Linked DNA regions of Macaca fascicularis. The protein of the gene in region 1 interacts with the protein of each later gene in a biochemical or structural test. Links are inferred from orthologs where the notes say so. Each region holds a gene or a part of one and is shown on either strand. Other genes may lie near its edges. The genes, in order: AKAP1 and MYCBP.

Evidence for each region.
Region 2: the proteins of AKAP1 (region 1) and MYCBP form a complex in vitro, tested with the Homo sapiens proteins (2 studies listed by BioGRID). The link is inferred for Macaca fascicularis from reciprocal best matches to the Homo sapiens genes AKAP1 and MYCBP.

The regions. Positions count from the first base shown.
Region 1 is NC_088390.1:49,610,398-49,614,203, forward strand, and holds part of AKAP1 (A-kinase anchor protein 1, mitochondrial), read right to left. Parts: coding exon 2,170-3,806; intron 1,390-2,169; exon of another isoform or gene 1,288-1,389; intron 1-1,287.
Region 2 is NC_088375.1:196,053,665-196,058,099, reverse strand, and holds the start of MYCBP (C-Myc-binding protein), read right to left. Parts: upstream 2,832-4,435; 5' UTR 2,830-2,831; coding exon 2,746-2,829; intron 2,546-2,745; coding exon 2,473-2,545; intron 1-2,472. Other genes in the region: GJA9 (gap junction alpha-9 protein), read right to left, coding at 4,012-4,435. UniProt on the Homo sapiens protein: May control the transcriptional activity of MYC. Stimulates the activation of E box-dependent transcription by MYC.

The DNA.
Region 1 (3,806 bases):
AAAGACGGAGCCAAAGCTCATGGCCAAGAAAACCCAATGGGAAAAGGACTCTGCTCCCGACCTGGGCTGTTTCACTCTCGCTCAAGAGTGTGCCAAAGGGACTGTCACAAAAAAGAGGGTCCAGATCAGCTCAAGAGAAGTGGCCCTGGCTTAAATATGGATGACTCAATCACCAGAAAGAGATCACTCCTGAGAGTCTACCAACTAGGTTACCTTCCACATGGTTTCTCCAAACCCTGGGCATAATCCTTTGCCAAGTAACCCATACACTGGATGCAGAGAACTAAGGCCCAAGAGATCCTGCTCCCAGCTAAGGAAGAATCACCTTCAAAGTGACATCCCCCCTTAACCTAGGCGCTTGGAACAGGATTCATGCAGGGAAAAGTACCCCTTCTAGGGGAAGACTGCTTGGCTAGGGAAGCATAACAGGCTGACAGGGGTTGGGGAAGGGGGCGGGGAGCTCTGCTCACTCACAGCCCCCAGCCTCTGTCCCACAGAATGGGACTGGCTAACACCTGCCATCTCGATGGCGCCCAGCAGTGGCTCAGAACCACACCAGGACTCTAGCAGGCTGCACTCCAAGGCCAGCTGCCAGCTCCCTCAGTAGGGTGGTCCCTGGACCCCTCTCAGCTTCAACTTTCTCACACACAAAGCAGAGCTGACATGAGGGTGCATGCGAGGCACTACCCTGGTGCTTGGCACCCACTGCATGCTCGTGGACAGTATTACCTCATTTCCACCCGCCATCTCTAAACCTCCCTGCCCATCACCATGGCTTAGGTTCAAGCCTAAACTCAACAGGTCTGAGTAGCTACTACTATCCATCTAGAGTAGGCAGACAAGGCTGTGGGGCTTGTTAATTCAGCCGAGGGGCAGTAAGCAAAGGGAAACTCCTTTATTCTTAAAAAATAAATAAAACAAAAAACACCCATTTTAAGATGCAATATTTTAAGAAACATTTAAACATCCAGAGATTAGGATGCATCATATAGTATCTGGCCTTCTATAATCATGACTGGCAGCACTTTTGTCCTTCCAAGGTACATAAAAACAGTAGTGTCGCAACAGCATCTTGGAGGTGACAAAACGTAGTGTGTGGTACAAACGAGATGCTGCCGAAAGTAGTAAAATTCCCGATCAAGATTCCCAACCTTCCTGGAGCTGAAATGGGAGGGAATGGCTCCAGGACAAACGTCAGAGAGGCACTGGGATACTCGTGGCCTCTCTCCATGAGATAAATGAAAACACCCCGGGGCGGCTGCAGAAGCAGGGTCAGGAGCTGCTGACCTGTAAGTTAGCGGTCTGAACTGTCTACGCTGGGGTCAGCACTCGAAAAACCCAGGACACCTCGTTATCAAAGTGCCCCGCTTTCCCGGGGTGGAGCTGCAACTGCACAGAAAGAAAATGGCTGAGGCTCTCTGCAAAGGTGACAGCGACAACTCAGGAAGCTCGAGCCTCCCACAAGTATTTAAAGCTGTGGCCATTCTTTGGGCACTTACCCTGTAAGAGCTTCTGGAGAAGGAAAGCAGGTGAAGACATGGGAACAAGCACATGATTAAAAGGAAATAAACCATTCAAAACACTCACACCCATACTTGGCACTCAAGGGAGGGAAAGCTAAGGAGACCTCTCCATTAAAACACACACACACACACACACACACACACACACACACACACACACAGAGGTTAGTGTTTAAAAAAGAAAAAAATGGGCTGGGCATGGTGGCTCACACCTATAATCCTAGCCCTCTGGGAGGCCGAGGGCGGAAGGATCACTTGAGCCCAGGAGTGCGAGACCAGCCTGGGCAACACAGGAAGACTCCATCTGCACCCAAATAATAATTTTTTTAAAAAAAGAAAAAAAGGCACACTAATGTTAATCAGTGAGCCCAACTTGGAGCTGGTTCCTTGGGAAGGGCTCACTGGGGAAGGTCACCGGCTGAGGAACCAAGTGACAGCTCCCAAGGCTTGGGGTTTCAGGGCAATCTAACTGCTCAGTTACCCACCAGCTTTATGCCGTGTCCAGCTCTCTGCAGGTTGGGACAAAGAGCTGAAGGGCACCATGACTTTGCTGCACAAGTAGCAGAAGGGAGAGGCAGACTGGCGGCCTTTCTCCAAGAAATACTGGGAGCGCCCCATCCTCTAAATGAACCCGAGACCCTCCTACCTCCTGAATGATCTGCTTCCACATCCATGGTCCATCCATCCTCAGCCCCCAAGTCTGACAACTCCCCCTTCAGTACCCCATTGCTGAAGGGCACAGTACTTTCTGGCAGTGGCGGCGTGATGGCCTTGTCTCTAGGGCTTGAGCTGGTCTCTGTGCAAGAGTCTTCAAGCCCTGAAGTGCTGAGAGAATCCGAGCAGTGTCCTGGGGAAGCCACCAAAGGGACACTTTGGCTGCTGTCTGACATGCAAGTGACACATGTGGCATCTTCCACCAGGATGCCCGCCCGGTCCGGCGACTCTTCACCAGGAGTGGTCGGTGGCAGGCAGGGGGTCAAGGAGATGTGGTGTGCAGAGATCTTTGGTTTACTGTCCTTGATGGGGCTGGACAGAGGGCTGTTCAGGCAGCTCACGTAGGTCTTTGGTGGTGCTGAGCCCTCTGCTGGTAGGCCTGGCGAGGGGAGGGCAGCATCCGACAGGGCAGCAGCTGCCTCTGCTGTGGCAGGTTCCCCAGTGTCGGAGCCCAAGACAGTTTGCTGGTGAACTGGGACACAGCTCTCTTCCTCCTGCCCTTGGAGCTGACTGGCCTGATACACACAACCTGTAACCTTGCCCACCGCGGTGGCCAGCACCTGTTCGGTTGCTTCCGAGATCACTTGGGAGATTATCTGGAAGGCAGCCTGCTCAATCTCCTCATTTCTATCCAAGCCCTCCCCATTTCTATCCAAGCCCTCCTCATTTCTATCCAGACCCTCCTCATTTCTATCCAAGCTCTCCTCATTTCTATCCAAGTTCTCCTCATTTCTATCCAAGCTCTCCTCATTGCCCAGTTCTCCCTCGACATCTCTGTCCTGGGCTTTGGCATCTGTGATTGGGGGTGCTGGTGCCGCATCGTCCTTTGGCAGCTCTGTGTGAGCCGACTTGATGAACCTACTTGGCAACTTCTCTGCTACATACTCTTCCTCCTGCACCGGCCCCACCTGGGATGAGCTGCTCTTCCCCTTCTCTTCTTCCCCTTCTAAAGAGGCTAGGTTGGGGGCCTTGCTGTTCTCCAATTCCAAGACATGCTCCTGAGACAATAGATCTTCTTCAAGCACCTTTTCCCCCAACACAGCATCACCGGTCCCTTCGGCCCCACCTGTCTCTCTTGCCCTCTCCCCAGAGCCATGCTTCTCTGGGGGCGCTGCAGGGTAGCCTGGCTGGCCCCTTCCTGGCACCCTACTGAACGGGGACTCTTGCTTACACACCTCAGCTGATTTGTGGGGGAATAGTACACCCTTTGGAGATGAAAGGGGGCACTCTAGAGGAATCAATTTGGTTTCACCACCTGTCAGGGCTAGCTCCAGCTTTGCACTGTTGTCTCTGCATGTTCCTGGTCGCAATCTCATGTCTATGGTATTAGGAAGACTGCCCGAGGACTCTGATCTTCGGCGAGGTGGGTGTGCCCGGAGCAATGCTGGTGGCTCTGCAGGCAGCTTGCTCATGGTGGACAGTTCCTTTTCTGGCGGCTCTGTGACGCTGGGGGGCATGGACACCACTTCGGGACAGACGTCTTCCATGGGAAGAGGTTCTTTGATGGCAGAGTCAGCCCTCAGCTGCACAGCACCAGCCTCCACCTGCTCATCATGGCTGCTGACGTGG
Region 2 (4,435 bases), on another chromosome or scaffold:
GGGCATGGTGGTGCATGCCTGTAGTCCCAGCTACTTGGGTGTCTGAGGTGGAAGAATTGCTTGAACCTGGGAGATTAAGACTGCAGTGAGACGTGACTGCACCACTGCACTCCAGTCTGGGCGACAGAGACCTTGTCTCAAAAAAATATATATATATGTAAATTAAATTTGTGAGGCTGGGCACAGTGGGTCATGCCTATAACATCAACACTTGGGGAAGCTAAGACAGGAGGATCACTTGAGGCCAGGCATTCCTAGGTGACAGAGTGAGATTGTCTCAAAAAAAAATAAAAAGTAAAAACAAATAGAATTGTATAAAGCACCTGTGTTTGAAGCTGAAAATCAAATTTTTAATAAATCACGTCAATACTGTGTTGGCTGATGTTATTTAGGAGCCTGGAAATCTAAGGAGATTAAAAGGTTAAATTCTAGTGGAGGCCAGGCGCGATGGCTCACACTTGTAATCCCAGCACTTTGAGGGGCTGAGGCAAGGTAAGGAGTTCAAGACCAGCCTGGCCCACCTGGTGAAACCTCGTCTCTACTAAAAATACAAAAAATTAGCTGAGCATGGTGGCGCATGCCTGTAGTCCCAGCTACTTGGGAGGCTAAGGCAGGACAATCGCTTGAACCCGGAGGTGGAGGCTGCAGTCAGCTGAGATCATGCCGCTGCACTCCAGCTTGGGCAACATCTTCTGTGTAGTCAGTTACCTCCTACAACTGTCATTTTTCTGCCTTTTACCATTCAATCTTTCGCTTGCTCCATCCAACCACTCTGGCCTCCTTATACTTCCTGAAACTCTTGACAGATATTGTTTCTTTCAGGTTTCTGCTCAAAAGTACTTAAGAAAGGCCTTCCCCCCACCACCCTATATAAAATGACACACACATCCCACCTGTCACTTGTTTTTTTTTTTTTGAGAAAGAGTGTCACTGTTGCCCAGGGGCACAATCACAACTCACTGGACCCTTGACCTCTTGGGTTCAAGTGATTCTCTCACCTCAGCCTCCAGAGTAGCTAAATTACAGGCACACACCATGCCCAGCAATTTTTTCTTTTAAGAGACGGGAGTTTTGCCATGTTGCCCAGACTGCTCTTGAACTCCTGGGCTCTAGCAGTCCACCCACCTCAGCCTCCCAAAGTGCTAAGACTACAGGCATGAGCCACGTGCCTGGCCTCACCTGTTACTCTTTATCCCTAACTTCTGCTGTATTTTTATCTGTAACACTTACCTCTAGCTGACACTAGGTATTTATGTATTTGTCTCCCTCAACTAGGACATAAGCTTATGAGAGCCGAGACTTTTATCCTCCTCTGCTTATCTCCAGTGTGCAGAACAGATGCCTGAGTAAAATGATTAAATGAAAGAAATGAACTTATGGAGTTTTTAGAGGGAATGACATTCAAAGCATCTGTGACACTTCCAGAGACAACATAGCACAGTACTTTCAGAGTAGTCCCTTAATACTTGCTGAAGTTTATTTGCAAAGAGGTAAACTATTATCTGAACCCCAAATAGGTAACAATTCAAAATTACTAGCCTGCTTTCTGCTAAGACCCAGGAGTTATGCTCCTAGAATTTTCCTCTAAACTTTGCTTCTGTCCAAAGAGCAGTTACCTACTTATTTCCCACACTTCCCAAACTTCCTAGTTTGACCCAAGTCCTGATCCCTGCCAACAATTCCATTCTACACCCTTGAAAATCCCAGTGAGTTAAGTGACATAGCAGGCATTTAAATTACTGTTAAGCTAATGAAGTAAACTGTACCCTACCCCTTGGAATCCTCCTGTTTCCGACACTTTACTCATCTACTTACTTAGATCTCGAAGCCACGAATGAAGAGATACAGCGTTAACAGTAAGTTTTCATTTTAAAAAGTGAAAACAATGTAACCATTTTGATATGCCCTCGAGCTCTTTAAACTGTAATTCTACTTTAACTATGAAATATACACAAAATAAAAATTGACACAGACTAAGGAATGGGGGCTGAAAAGCCACAGCCAAATTGGCCATGCATCTCCTACTTCGGGGATTAGGCTCACTCAACTATTTCATAGCCCACTTTGAAATTCGGTCATTTTTCCAGTTGCTCTTTGTTGGAGGGAAACTGTTTCTTAACAAGATTCTGAGGACTCCACAAAAACCGTAAGGTGGGAGGAATTGGGATCTGAAGGTCTTTGGCAAACATGTCCACTGCGGCTGCTCGAGGCAAAGCAACGGAAGTTGAAGAGACTTTGCAACAGCTGCAAGAGTTTCACTCCCAGTGCAGAGAAGGGTAGCGTAGCTAGGCTACCTCACCCGGGCGGCCTCCAGCAGCCAGGTCCCTACCGAACCCCGAGGCCCACCTCGCTGGACCCCGGACGGGCCCCATCTGTTTCCCCTCCTTCCCCACGCTACGGCCCGCTGGGGAAAGGGGCAGCGCCGGGGAGCACGACGAGGGCACGAGGTACCCTCTCCTAGCCCAGGCTCACCCTTGGTCAGCGTGTCCAGCACCCCCGACTTCTCCAAGTACCTCCGGAACTGCTCACGCTTCGAGTCGGCGGCCTGAAGAGACACCGGGGGTCAGTGGCCAGAGCCCGGGAGCCGAGCAGGAAGAAGGTGCTAGGAGTCTGGCAACCCCGCCTCCGCCTCGCTACCTCGGGGCCCTCCCGCCCAAACCTGCGCGCGCGACCCCACTCCCACCCAGAGCCGACCAACGGCTTGCTACCGCCCGCATGCCCCCAGCCACGCCGCGCCCCCCTCACTTTGTAATGGGCCATAGTGACAGCGGCAGCGGCGTAGCTGGCGCCGGAGACCGCGACTGGCGGGTTGGGAGCAGAACTGCTCATGCGCGGAAGGGGGCGCGCGGCTGCGCACTTGCGAACCACGGGCAGGGATCGCCGGGGTGTGGCCTGTTTTCATGGCGACCAGGACGCTCTGCATCCCCCGTTGCAGGCTGAGCCGAGGGAGGCTGCGTATGCCCGCCCCTCTGGCTGTTGGAGCCGCACCTCTTCCTCTTCCGGTCCCCGTAGCGATTCGTTTTCTTTGCAAGAGGTGAGATTTTGGTAACTCTGTACTGGCGTCCGGAGGCAGGGCCCGGGAGCACTGGGACTATTGCGAGAGGAAGGATCGCCGCACGGTGGTAGCGAGCTCATTTTTCTCATCTGGGACCTCGGAAACTGTGGTGACCCATAGGTGCTGGACTTTTTGGCTCTCTTCCTGAGAAAGTGCTCACGACTTTGCAGTAGCTGAGGAGGGTGTTTAGAATCATGTATTTTGGTTCCAGCTTTTATCTTTGGAGTCTCCTTGAGTCGTGGCTGACTTGATGTGGGCTTCTGGAGAATGAGCAGTAACGAGCTTGCAATAGCTTTTGAGCGCTGTGCGCCAGGCACTGTAGAAAACACGGGTATTTTAAATTTTAATCCTCACAACACCCTTGTAGGGTGCGTACTGTTAATTAAGTGGAGAGGTTAGATGTCCAGTGAGTAGAGCCGAGTCCAATCCGGGCAATGAATCACGATGCTATGAACTGGTGAAAGAAAGCCACGGATCTTTTTAAGATTTTATTTACTAGGTAGCAACATGTGATTATACTCGAGACATATCAGGATGCAGTCTAGAAGGAAACTACGTGATTGTGTTTCAGGGGCAAACAAAATTAACCCAGTGTCCAAGGTGGAATTATGTAGATGAAGAACCGTGTCCTAAGGCTGTGGTCTCTTCAAAGAGAAAACCTGATCAAACCATTTAGCCCCAGTTCTGAACATGTGATATTCCCAAAATCAGTTACACACATTCGAAAGAATATCATTAAAAAAAAAAAAAATCCTGATTTGACAACCTTATGTCTTTGGATTTAGAAGTGTTCTTTCACAATCTAGAATTAGAGCTGTTTTTCCCTTGCTGAAATGAGTTTGCCGTCTGTCTTAACAGCTGGTCTTTAGAGCTGCCCATATCTATTTTGTCCGTGCCCCACCACCACTAGGCTACTTCTCTGATAATATATACAATGTCTAAAAGCCAACCGCTGTCTAGATCTGAAGATCTGTGGGAACCCGCCTACCAATGAGATTGTTCGTTAGGGACACTACGTGATTTGGAGGACACACAGGATTATTACAGGTTCTGACCAACCCTAGCTCAAAGGACAGCCCTCCCAAAGAATCAGCTGTGTTTGGAATGTCAAGTGATTGAGACTTTCCTTGTGAAGGAGGAAGGGTTCTGACTATGCCCTTTCTGAACTGGCCTTTGAGGTTACCTTTAGGAGGTGACCCCTGGTTTTCATGTTCTGTAGAGGAACCCCATGTAGCTCTAAGCCACCGCGGTTTCCAATCGCAGTTAGCTGGCAAGGAGAAAGCTGTTTGGGGTGACTGCCTCATGTTGTTCTCTCCATCTATAGCAACACCTGGAATAGAACGGTGACCTCTAGAGTAGTAGTTCCTTTTGCGGTCTTTG